Saccharomyces cerevisiae S288C: one gene and its partner. Each later gene encodes a partner of the first gene's protein in a complex. Each region holds a gene or a part of one and is shown in the gene's direction. Other genes may lie near its edges.

Region 1 (7,013 bases):
TGGAAAAAATGGGACTGATCTGCAGTCTCCTAACCAAAGAGGGAAAAAAAAGAAAGAAAATTGCGTATAGCGGGAACGGGAGAATACGAAATCTGTATATTAAAAATGAAAAAGAATGTTTGAGTTAGCAGACAGTACCAGTGGCTGCAACGTAGCTTGCTTCTTTTGTTTTTGTTTTTTGTGCAACAAGAGCCGTCTGATATCTTGTGTTCTCAGGTCATTTTCAAGAGCGTGTTTCACCGAGGGGAATATGTTTCAGGATTCGCGGCGGGAAGATTTTTGCTTGCATTAAAGATTTACTTACTATACAGAATAAATAGTGGAATTGTTAAATATTATTAAATAGATAAGGGACCTGACTGAGCGCTCGCTCCCGACTAGGCCAAAGACATCTTAGCCAGCTCATATACAGCCTCTTTGGACTTGGCACCTCCAATGAAACCTGCTGCATGAATGAAGATACATCCTGGCACACCGCTCTTGGTGCTCAGCTCTTCGTCTCTGAGGCCTCTTAATGGCTCCGGCAAACCTCTCCTAAACTGGAAGGAGGTGGAGTTGATTGGTACAGTAGATACCCTCCAGGCACCAGAAGAGTCTGTGAAGAGAACAAACTCGATTTGCTTTTCAATGTTCTTCTCTCTTTCCAGCTCGTATAGATGCTCCTTCCATGGACAGAATTGGGGCAAGACAATGATTTTGCCACTCTTATCAACATCCATTCTTTCATCAATGGCTTGCGCCACAAGGGCCTTGGCTGGCAACCACGATTGACCGTAGCCTCTTACCAATGTGACAAAGACCCCACCGATAAACTCACTTGCGCGAGCAAAGCATCTGTCAAAAGACTCATCGGAAGTGTCTTCGTTCCAGTTAGGATTCATACCTGAAATAATCCCGGGAATGCTGATGGCGTTATCCCTGAAATTCGGTTCCAAGTTGGAATCCTTAGGAATCGTGTACTTGCTAATACCGTTGTCGTTTGCATCCAGTGCCTCGACAAATTGTTTGTATACCTTGTCATAGAGCAGATCTAAATCAGAGCTGCTAACCTTGTTGTTCAAAATTGTTTTGATAATGTCACGACCGTAGTGTTTGAAGATCAGACCAGCACTTGAGAGCTTAGTCTTGTATTTCTCGTTGAAAGTTTCGAAAAATCCACGCTGGTGGTGGTCAAAAAATTTCACGCCGTCATACTGAGCTCCTACATCCACTAGAATGTCACTAGCCTCCCAGTCCTTGGGATTTCTTGATCTAACCAACTTAGCATCTTTAAATTCGGGTAGTAGCCTTAACATGTATACCGCCAACGACTCGTCCGCGTGAAAAGATCCGGAATGCGTGCATATTTGTTTGGACATTTTTGAATTTAGCTTTACTCTTTTTACGCTATTCATGCAGACTTTTTGGGCTGGGCTCTTCAATTCCACAGCTTTTCGATAGTATTAACACATCATTACTTTCTACGTTGACAGAAAATTTTCGTGATTTGCCGTTCCCATCGCTCGAAAAGAAAGTGAAAAACTGAAAAAAATAATAGAGATTTATCAATGAATACAGTAATCCAAAGACGAGAGAAGAGCAGGAAAATTCGTACTTATATTGCAACTTAATGGTGGGCTCAGATTTTTCGATGCTCTGCCTCGTAACTCTAAGTATCAGCTGCGGATGGATCATAAGTAGTATTAATATAGAATATAGAGGCGCAAATTGAGGTTACCCTGTATAACGGCAGTCGTTGCGTCCATTGTTATGTAAAGTCTTGGCTTTATAGACACACAATAAATACTCCCAGCATGAATTGTTTTACCCAATATTGCACGAATTATCGACACATCCAAAGATGGCGAGAAGTAGAAAGAATTCATTGGTTCGAGATATTGCGTCTCATCCGACTATACCAGAATCTCAGACCATAGTGGGTTTACTGGACGATTCGTACCTTTTTGATAAGCTAAAAAAGCTATCTTTGGCTGTGGAAAATTCTGACAGTCTGCAAAGAACTGATGTCTCAGAAGGTTGTTCAGAGGTTAATGGTTCTGAAGCTACGACTTCTGCGGATGTAAAAAAGACAAACAAGTATTTGTATTATACTACCTATTTGGACCAGTTAAACATTAAGATAGACGAGTATAAAGTTGTTCTGGATCAAACACGCCAGGTTAACGATCAATTGGATAGTTCCATCAAGAAATTTCGGAAAATCTCTCAGGATACTGGAGCTTTCATTGAGGAAACGAAGACGATCTATGAAAAGCAGTCTAAATTAAGCAATCTAACTGAGTCAATCCCTAAAGCTCTCCATTATTTTGAAGTTTTAGACCCTATAATGCGTCGCTTGAACCATGCCACTTCTCCCGCTATTGTTAAGAAGAGCTCCTTTACGACAATGTTGGCGACTATCGACGAGTCTTTACGTTTTTTGGATGAGAATAGTGACCTCAAGGATGCGGCAGCGTACAGAATCAAGTTCAAGCAATGCTTGATCAGAGCCTGTGAATTGATATCTCACTTTTTAACGAATCTGTTGAAACAAACAAATCAAGAAATTTTGGATAAAACCAAAAACAAAAATTCGTTAACTGGGTTGCCGTCGACTACAAGAGACGCCTTCTTGTACAGTAAATTCTATACCATAGCTGATACTTTCAAAATTCAGGTTTCGGAAATTGTTAAGAGAAGCAACGAAAAAGCCTACAACAAGTATCACGATGAACTGAATTCCATTCTTTACGAGTGTTTCAACCACTATTTCCAAACACGTTTAAGACTGCTAACTCCGGTCATTTGGTCACACATTGATGAAATTGTTGTTAAAGATAAGGACCAGGGCTTGGTCAAATTCATTCAAGACGGTAAGGTTTATTTTCAGCAGTTATGCGCGGACGAATACAAACTTTTCGTAGAATTTTTCCCTGAAAAGGAATGTCGTTTCAAGATTAATCAGTGGTTCTTACAGTTATGTGAACCCCTTTATGACTCCATTAGAGTCAGGGTTTTGAAAGAGACAGATATTTGTACTTTGTGTGACTCAGTGACTTTGTTTGCTCCATATTATGAATTTGAAGAAGGTTCAGAAGAATACGTGAAGCAGTTTACCGACATTCAGTATGATAAACTATTCGAACCGATTGTCCAAAAAGTGCAGGCTAGATTAATTTTAAGAGTGCAAATATATGTCCAACAAAATATTTTGAGCTATAGGCCCACTAGGGACGTTTTCATGATTTCAAATAGAAGGAGAAAATCGAAGACCAGCTTACAAGGGGGTAACGAAGATGCTACTACTAGTGATGACAATCCAGATCCCTTGTTAGAATCTTATTTATCTTCTTTCAAGAATAGAAGCATATTGCCCATATCCCCTAATGATGCAGACGATAAAAGTATTGATTCAGAAGAATCTACTGATAAAATTTCACAGTTGCAAACATATTATCCGCCCTTGTTAAAGACTTTGGCTTTATTGTCCAAAATTTATGAAATGATCAATTCTGTGGTATTTGATGATTTAGCTCACCATGTAGTCCACGACTGTATTGTATCCTTGAGAAATGCCTATGATATGGTTATCAAATCTTCAGCGGGAAAATCTGATTTTAACAACTTAGATATTTCATTAGCGTACCTAAAAAATTTGTTGATGTTACGTGATTCCATACAGAACTTTAATATTCAATATACAGTTAATGAAACTTATCTGGATTTTTCTGGTGTTGAGGGGTTTTTCAAATCACTTAAAGAAAATGGTAGAAACGTTTTGAAAAAGACAAAGTCATCTTCAATATTGACCCTGGCAAGAGAGCTGGTTCCAAAAGTTGTAAACAATATGGTGGACGCCCGTACGGAACTCATATCTGAATTGAGAAACGTCATTAAAGATTTTACTGAAAGCACTTCTTTGGAGCTTATTGATGACACTTTAGATATCAATAGTGATGAAGATCTGTTAAGCAAAAACGTAAAATTAAGAGAGAATATAAAGGCCAGATTACCAAGAATATATGAACAGATATTGAACTATATCGATGATCAAGAGATTGTTACTAATTTATTAGACGCTGTGCAAGAGTTAATTACACAATCATATTCCAAATATTATGAAACTATAACTGAATTGGCAGAAAATGGAAAGTTTGCTAAGGATCAAGTCGCAGACGTAATGTACTTGGACGTCTTCACAGATTTTTTTGCCAAAGAGGTGGCGGATCTTTTAAGAAATGGTGATATTGATACCATAACGAAATAAACTTATGTGTAATTTCAACTTTTTCTATAATTTTCATGCATACATAAATCTGATATCGAAATAAAAATTACATTACACGGTAAAAAAAATGTTTTCAAAGCTTTTGATCGTAAGCGATTGAAAAAATATAACGAATACTCCGATACGGGGAGTCGAACCCCGGTCTCCACGGTGAAAGCGTGATGTGATAGCCGTTACACTATATCGGATTAAATTCATGAATTTTTTAGGGCTCCGAATATTGTAAATTCGTTAACAATTCAAGCAACTCATTTAAACAAGTAATCAATAAAGTCAAAATATATAAACAAATTAAGATCGCTGCCAAAGTAGTGATCAACCAAGAGACATTAAGGTTGTTATCTCGTGGACCACAACGCACCTAGATGCATGCAAACATAACAACAGTGGAATTCATTTGTTAGATTTGAATTTGCCTTAACATTGCGGTTCGTAAGTTTTCTAGGTGACAGATACCGGAGAAAGGTGAATCGAACTGTATCGTAATGTACTACTACTTACTCATATTTTTGGTTCAGTGGGATTTATTGACGTTAAGCTCACTTTTATCATCCTAGTTCAATGTAAAGATTTATGAGATTATTTAAAGAAGTTTTCAAAGTATTTGTATGATTAATAGTGTTGGAATAAAAATCAACTATCATCTACTAACTAGTATTTACGTTACTAGTATATTATCATATACGGTGTTAGAAGATGACGCAAATGATGAGAAATAGTCATCTAAATTAGTGGAAGCTGAAACGCAAGGATTGATAATGTAATAGGATCAATGAATATTAACATATAAAACGATGATAATAATATTTATAGAATTGTGTAGAATTGCAGATTCCCTTTTATGGATTCCTAAATCCTAGAGGAGAACTTCTAGTATATCTACATACCTAATATTATAGCCTTAATCACAATGGAATCCCAACAATTACATCAAAATCCACATTCTCTACAAATAGCCCTTCACCTTACATTGCACCACTGGTTGAACAGTCCATTTTTAAATCTCTCCCATTTTGTTATTGGTATAATGGGGCATGTAAACCTGTACGAGATCCCCAGAAATTACGATGTAAATACCTACATTGGTATTACAGTTTTTTATGTGAATTAAAATTTATCATCTTAAGATTATTACCACAGCACTATATTCTGAACATTATTCGAAATGATATAATTCAAATATTCCCTATCAGTATGTCCATAGGCGATAAAAATGTGATTAAGTAATTTTCGAGCCCCCGCGTTAAGCAAGCATCCATCAATAAAAACTTCATTAACACTCTTAGATAATCACTGTAAAAAATTCTAATTATCGGTTAAGGTTATAAAGTTAGGTAGCTGGTAAAAAAGCGATTGATCTCAGACATATCTTTTAAATGTTAAAACTCATCGCTCTTCAGGGAAATCTTACGCGCTATTTTTACAGTCGCGCGGGTCTTAACCATAATTTTTTACCGCTGCAAATATTTGAATGCTATAAGAGCAGATAAAAAATAGATTATAGAAATTAACCTGTTAAAACAATTATCCAAAATGTAGTAAGTATTTATCTTACGTAAAAAGTTCGATGCATATAAAATAAAATAGAATATATAAAGAGATACAACAGAGTCTCAAGAAGGAAAAAAGCTTGATGAACCCGTTATAAGTAGTAATGTGTATACTTAGCGCTATCCTGGTGAACGCGCATTTCCTTTCTTTTGAACTCATTCACCTCCATTTTGATTTCAATATTGGATATATTTTTTGTGGATGAGAGATTATTACCGACAAAAGTAGAAGGATTGGTAATGTCTTGGCTCTTTCCTTTAAAGAAATTATTCAAAAAGGTATTATCACACCTGCAATAGTCCGCGGCGGACCACGTATCGTTTACATAAATCTCATCCGCAAAGCGTAAGGATTTGACGGCATTTTTAGATTTCGATGACCCTGAAGAAGGGGCAGGTGTTGGCGAAGAAGATATGGATTGCATTGGTCCACGGGAAACCAACGATGACGAGGACGAAGAAGAAGGAGCCGGCGATGATATTGAAGAGTTTATGAACGAAGAGTTCGCAGCATCAGTAGTGGTAGAGAGAGAAGATGGCACAGAAGCAGTCAAAGGCAATTTGTTTAAATACACGGTAGACCATTCATCCTGCAAACGCTTTAAGAAAACGGTGCTCTTTTCCTCTGGAGCAATATCTTCATTAGACGAATCTTGACTACAGTAGTATAACTTTGTAGTTCGTTTATCAGACAGTGTAGGTCTGTTTGGTGACCTAGGGGGTGGAAGAACTGGTATCCTGTTATTATCTCCGAGTGCTGTCAATTCTTGTACTATGCCAGAGTCCTTAATTGAAGGTACAGCCGTTTCGTGATTGTTAACGGTTGAAAAACTCTGTTTTATAATTTCAACCGGTTGGTCAAGGGACGTTATCGGTTCTGGTACAACTCTCTCCGGATTTTTCCTTTTCTGCTTTGTTTTGCTATTCTCTTCTACGGAATCTGCAGAATTTGATGACTTGGACGACCAGATTTTCCTGAAGAAACGAGATATCTTTTTAGAATTTGATCTAATTGCCTTTGGAGACTCGGATTCAGATTTCTGATTAGCATCAGCAGCTTTCGTTTGTTGAGGAGAACGATTGTTCGTGCCAGTGGCAATGGAATCGTTATCTGCGGAAGATGGGCCTCCAGTCTGGGTCAAAGGCAACGATGAACTAGAAGGAGAGTCGGGAAAAGTCGAAGATGGCGGAAGCCT
Region 2 (5,317 bases), on another chromosome or scaffold:
CACGAAGTCAGTTGCTCAAGAAGCTGTGGATGCTAACTGCAACGTAATTGTTGCTTACCATCCTTTTATTTTCCCAAGCTGGAACAGATTAAGCCCACATACAAACCCACAACACGAGACAGCTATAAAGCTAATCCAGTACGGAATATCCGTATACTGCCCTCACACTGCCGTAGATGCCGCTCGTGGCGGTGTAAATGACTGGTTGGTTAGGGGTTTGAACAACGGAGAGAACGTCGCAAAGTCTTATGCCTTGGAAACTGTAAGTGGCGAAACTGACGACTTGATTGGCTACGGTAGATTCGTAGAATTCAATAAAGACATCTCTTTGGAGCAAATTGTCAAAAATGTCAAGCGTGTTTTACGGGTTCCCTATGTACAAGTAGCATCTCTTGCTGCTCCATCCGCATGGAATCAACTCAAAATCAAAAAAGTCGCTGTCTGTGCCGGGAGCGGTTCTGGCGTGTTTAAGCAACTAAAAGAGGACGTAGACCTTTACTATACGGGAGAAATGTCACATCATGAAGTACTGAAGTGGAAAGAAATGGGCAAGACCGTTATTGTTTGCAACCACTCAAATACTGAGCGTGGATTCCTTCAAGACGTTATGAAGGGCTTGTTGCAAGATGAGGGCCACGAAGTAGTCGTAAGCAAAATGGATTGCGATCCTTTGACTGTTGCATAGCTGCTAGTAATTATATGGCTATATAGGATATCACAAATACCATACGTACTACAGTTTTATCATCCGGCTGTTCGTGTAAAATGATGTTGTTGTATCGGATAGAGAAATACGGATAGAAAAGGTAAAAGTCTTCAAATAACAAGGACAATAACATACTCTGTATTGAAGACGAAGTACTCAGCAAAGCGTAACGTAATTACACTTAGCACACAAATATACTCACACAAATATTACAAGGCATGTCGACGGATACCATGTATTTCAACAGCTCCAGGCTGTTGCCATCGGCTGGCAGGAACAAGACAAATAATCTAATCAAACAAAAAACTAGAAATAATCGTGCGAGGGGAAATGCTGCTAAGAACGCCAATAATAACAACTATATCACAGATATACCACCTCCTCAAACTCTTCCTAACGGTCAGAAACCTAACTTCGGCCATTCTTCCAACAAGAAACCATCATTTAATCAAAAGAAGCACTCTCCACCTTCTTCCCCTTCCTCTACAACTACTTTAGGTAAAAAAAACAGACAGAATAATAAAGAAACGCCACGACAGAACAACAAAGATGATACTCGTTTACTGAGTCAGAACCTAAAGAATCTGCTTCTGAACCAGAAACAATCCCCGCATGGCTCTCAAGGGATAATACCAATGGGTTGTAATGGCAGTGCCAAAAAACTCAGTCACTCTTATGCAGGCTCCACTTTCGCCACTAATGGTCCAAGGGAGGCTAAAAACTTGCCCAAACCAAGTTTTTTATAATCACCCTTTAGAGAGACATTTTTGATTTTTTTTTTTTTTTTTTTTTTTTTTTTTTTAGAATAATGCATATTTTTATTTGATATATACCTATGTACCAATTATACGAATGCTTATGTCTGTTTTGGATCTGGTCATCCAAAGCAATTTCTCAGATGACAATTTTTTTTTCCTATTTTCTGTTACAGTTCATCATTATGCTGAAGAAAAATGAAACATGGCGGTGAATAATAAATAACACATTCGTACAACAAATCTTGTGGTAGAAAACCTAAAAAAAACCAATACGATAGAAAATGGATGAAGTCTTACCATTGTTTCGCGATTCTCATATTCCACAGATTAAAGATTATCAATTGGAGTTACAGAACGATTTGACTAAAACCAATGAGGCCTTCCAAAAGAATTTGCTAAAGAACTATAACAAGATCTTAAGCTTGACCGATTCTGTTAATGACTTGTCGCTCAATTTGAAAAATGTTGATCAAGATTTTAAATCCCTGTGTTTCAATGATGAAAAATTTCAGTTGAATAAGTTAACTCCACTACCATACCAAACCACTACCCATATATCACCACCTCGTGACGAAGAAAAAGTCAGCATACCATCGCAAAACATTTTAGTAATTTCAAATTGGACCATCTCCATCAACAACTTCTGTAATCGTATAGTTACTTCCACTACTCCGTCGCGGATATTCGACGAGCTACTGTTGAATTTCCACGAATTATCTTTGATACCAGTTCCTTCCAAATTTGAAGCGCTTGTCAAGGACAAATGTTGTCGACTACAGAAGTTCTTGGTGGACTCTATGAAGACATTAAACTTAACTTTACTACAGTGGGTAAAACTATACAATTTACTAAACACGGAGTTTTCCTCGAAGTGGGACGATGATTTACTTTCTATATTCAATGAATCCCTATTCGAGACACTATTTAACGATAACGTTCAAGCGTTACTGATATCAAGTGCCAACAGCAAAGATCATCAATATCACTCCAATCAGCAATATAAGGACGCGATTGTTGTCGATTTTGTGAATTCGTCCACCTTTAGAGACCATCTCATTCGGAGAACCGTGAAAGAAATAAACACACATTTGGATACACTCTCTACTTTGAGAGCCAAGCTTAAGGAGCCTGAAACTCTTCATAAATTAGATATCTTCCATGATAATGATACGAACCTCAATGATGGCACTGTATCTCCACTTGATGATGATGCATTGAAACAATATATTGATACAGCGGTATTCTATTCAAAAGGTTTAACCAATGATACCACGTTGCAAATTTATCAAACGGTGCAGCCTACGATTGAAATCCTACAAAACTTAGAATTGTATAAATGCCCTCAAGAGACACTGACAGATTTGAGAAATAAATTGATTACTCAATTGCAAGAGTTTAAGACTCAGATCTCATCCCGCTTACCTTCACCACTGGAAAACTCAACGAGTGTTGTGGATGATTTTATAACTTCGTACAACAATCACAATCTCTTGCAATTAGTCATCGATCAAATTACTCAATTAAGGCAACAGTAATATAATAGCACGAGGGAGGGTACCCGCCTCGCAAACTTATTGATAATGATAATGGTATGGGCGTTGATATATACATATATATATATATATATATATATATATATATATACATAATATATATATGTTTATCTGTGTGTATCTATGTGGACTTCAATAAGTGATCGCCTTCTTGATATCATATTACTCCCCCATTTCACCTGAATTAATTTCGGAATACATGAGTAAGCTCTTGGACCGAATCATTACTAGGCTTCATGACTGTTGAATATACTGCATCCGATTTGGCAACCTATCAGAATGAGGTGAACGAACAAATTGCCAAGAATAAAGCACATCTTGAATCATTGACTCATCCAGGTTCGAAAGTGACATTTCCGATCGATCAAGATATTTCTGCTACACCTCAAAACCCGAACTTAAAAGTTTTCTTTTTTGATATCGACAACTGTCTCTATAAATCATCCACGAGAATTCACGATCTTATGCAACAATCTATACTGAGGTTCTTTCAAACACACTTGAAACTATCACCTGAAGATGCTCACGTTTTGAATAACTCTTACTACAAAGAGTATGGACTTGCCATAAGGGGACTTGTAATGTTCCACAAAGTGAACGCACTGGAATATAACCGGCTTGTGGATGATTCCTTACCACTACAAGATATCTTGAAACCTGATATACCATTAAGGAATATGCTGTTGAGATTGAGACAATCGGGAAAGATTGATAAATTGTGGCTTTTCACCAACGCTTATAAAAACCACGCAATACGTTGCCTGAGATTGTTGGGTATAGCGGATTTATTTGATGGATTGACATATTGTGACTACTCTAGGACAGATACGCTGGTCTGCAAACCACATGTTAAAGCATTTGAAAAAGCCATGAAGGAAAGCGGGTTGGCAAGATACGAGAATGCTTATTTTATAGATGACAGTGGGAAAAACATCGAGACAGGTATCAAATTGGGCATGAAAACATGTATTCATTTAGTTGAGAATGAAGTAAATGAAATTTTGGGGCAAACACCAGAAGGCGCTATTGTCATTAGTGATATATTGGAGTTACCACACGTTGTGTCCGACCTGTTCTAAGGTATATCAATTTTAAGTATAATTGTATATAAATCTACTTGCATTAGATGCCTCTATAAAATAAAATAAACCAAAAAAAAAAAATAAATTGCACCCCCCGTAAGTTCTCATTTACGTAAAGGTTGGGCTTGTTGCTTCTTTTGTTTGGCAACAGCATAAATAATACCTGATAGGAAACCAATAAAAATGGAGAGAATAGATAAGAAGTTTCTTGGAGCATCAAAGAAAATCAAACCAGACAAGGCAATTGGCAGCTTGTTCAAAGCCCCTACCATCGAATATGTAGTAGACGAAGTAACACGAACACACCAACCGGAACAGTAAGAAATACCGACGGATGCAACACCACTGATGATCATAGCAGTTAGCGAATCGTTAGAAAAGTTATTGGTCAAATTAACTGAAGACCAATCTTCCACACAGAAAGAAAACAGCAATAGAATAGGTAGAGCCAAAACATTGTTGTAAAACATAGTGTCGAAATCCTTGAAGTTAGTTAACTTAATTCTCTTTCTCATTATAAGAACGAATAATGCAGAAGTGATACAGTTGGTGAACATCCAGAAATAACCTGGGTTAAAGGAGGCAACAGCACCGGCTGCTCCTTCAGCCAATGAAGCAGCCTTGGCAGCCACAGCTTGCTGGTCACCCCAAGTTGCAACGACAGAAGAAAGGACCATCAACAAAAATGATGACAATTCCATGGAGGTGACAGAGCCACCAAAAAAGAGAACCTCACCATAAGCAATCAAGATAATAGTCAAATTCTTGAAAATGGTGTAAATTGGAACAGCCAAGTATTGTAAAGCCTTCGAAGAGGTGTAGATCATCAAGACCAGTAAAAAGGAAATAGGGAACCAGTTCTTGGCGTCTGTTTTGTTTAATGAACGGAACTTCGCATAGCCCAGTATACGTAGGATAATCAAGGTTATAGTACAAACCAAAGATTGCACGAAAAGCATGACAAAGTTCATGTTGAAATCCTTCAAATTGACGACGAACTTGTTAGTCACCGTCATTAAAATAGAGGAACCACAGTAGGATAAAATAGAGATCGGACCGGAATTGGCAACTGAAGCCCAAGGGTTATGGCCTGCATGACCTGTTTTCAATTCAGACATTCGGGCGAAAGATACTGTGTGGTTAGTGTGTTTGTTTTCTTAGGCTCTTTTGGTAATTAAGAGGATGTCAACAATTAATCGGCAACAAGAAATAGGCTTG

Evidence for each region.
Region 2: COG3 (region 1) and COG1 share a complex: the UniProt entries of both Saccharomyces cerevisiae proteins name them as parts of the conserved oligomeric Golgi (COG or Sec34/Sec35) complex.

What each region holds. Positions count from the first base shown.
Region 1 is NC_001137.3:482,948-489,960, forward strand, and holds COG3 (Golgi transport complex subunit COG3), read left to right. Parts: upstream 1-1,840; coding exon 1,841-4,246; downstream 4,247-7,013. Other genes in the region: MYG1 (Myg1p), read right to left, coding at 378-1,394; YER158C (uncharacterized protein), read right to left, coding at 5,910-7,013. UniProt on the Saccharomyces cerevisiae protein: Acts as a component of the peripheral membrane COG complex that is involved in intra-Golgi protein trafficking.
Region 2 is NC_001139.9:76,794-82,110, reverse strand, and holds COG1 (Golgi transport complex subunit COG1), read left to right. Parts: upstream 1-1,745; coding exon 1,746-2,999; downstream 3,000-5,317. Other genes in the region: NIF3 (uncharacterized protein), read left to right, coding at 1-685; EDC1 (Edc1p), read left to right, coding at 925-1,452; SDT1 (nucleotidase), read left to right, coding at 3,254-4,096; VRG4 (GDP-mannose transporter), read right to left, coding at 4,204-5,217. UniProt on the Saccharomyces cerevisiae protein: Acts as essential component of the peripheral membrane COG complex that is involved in intra-Golgi protein trafficking.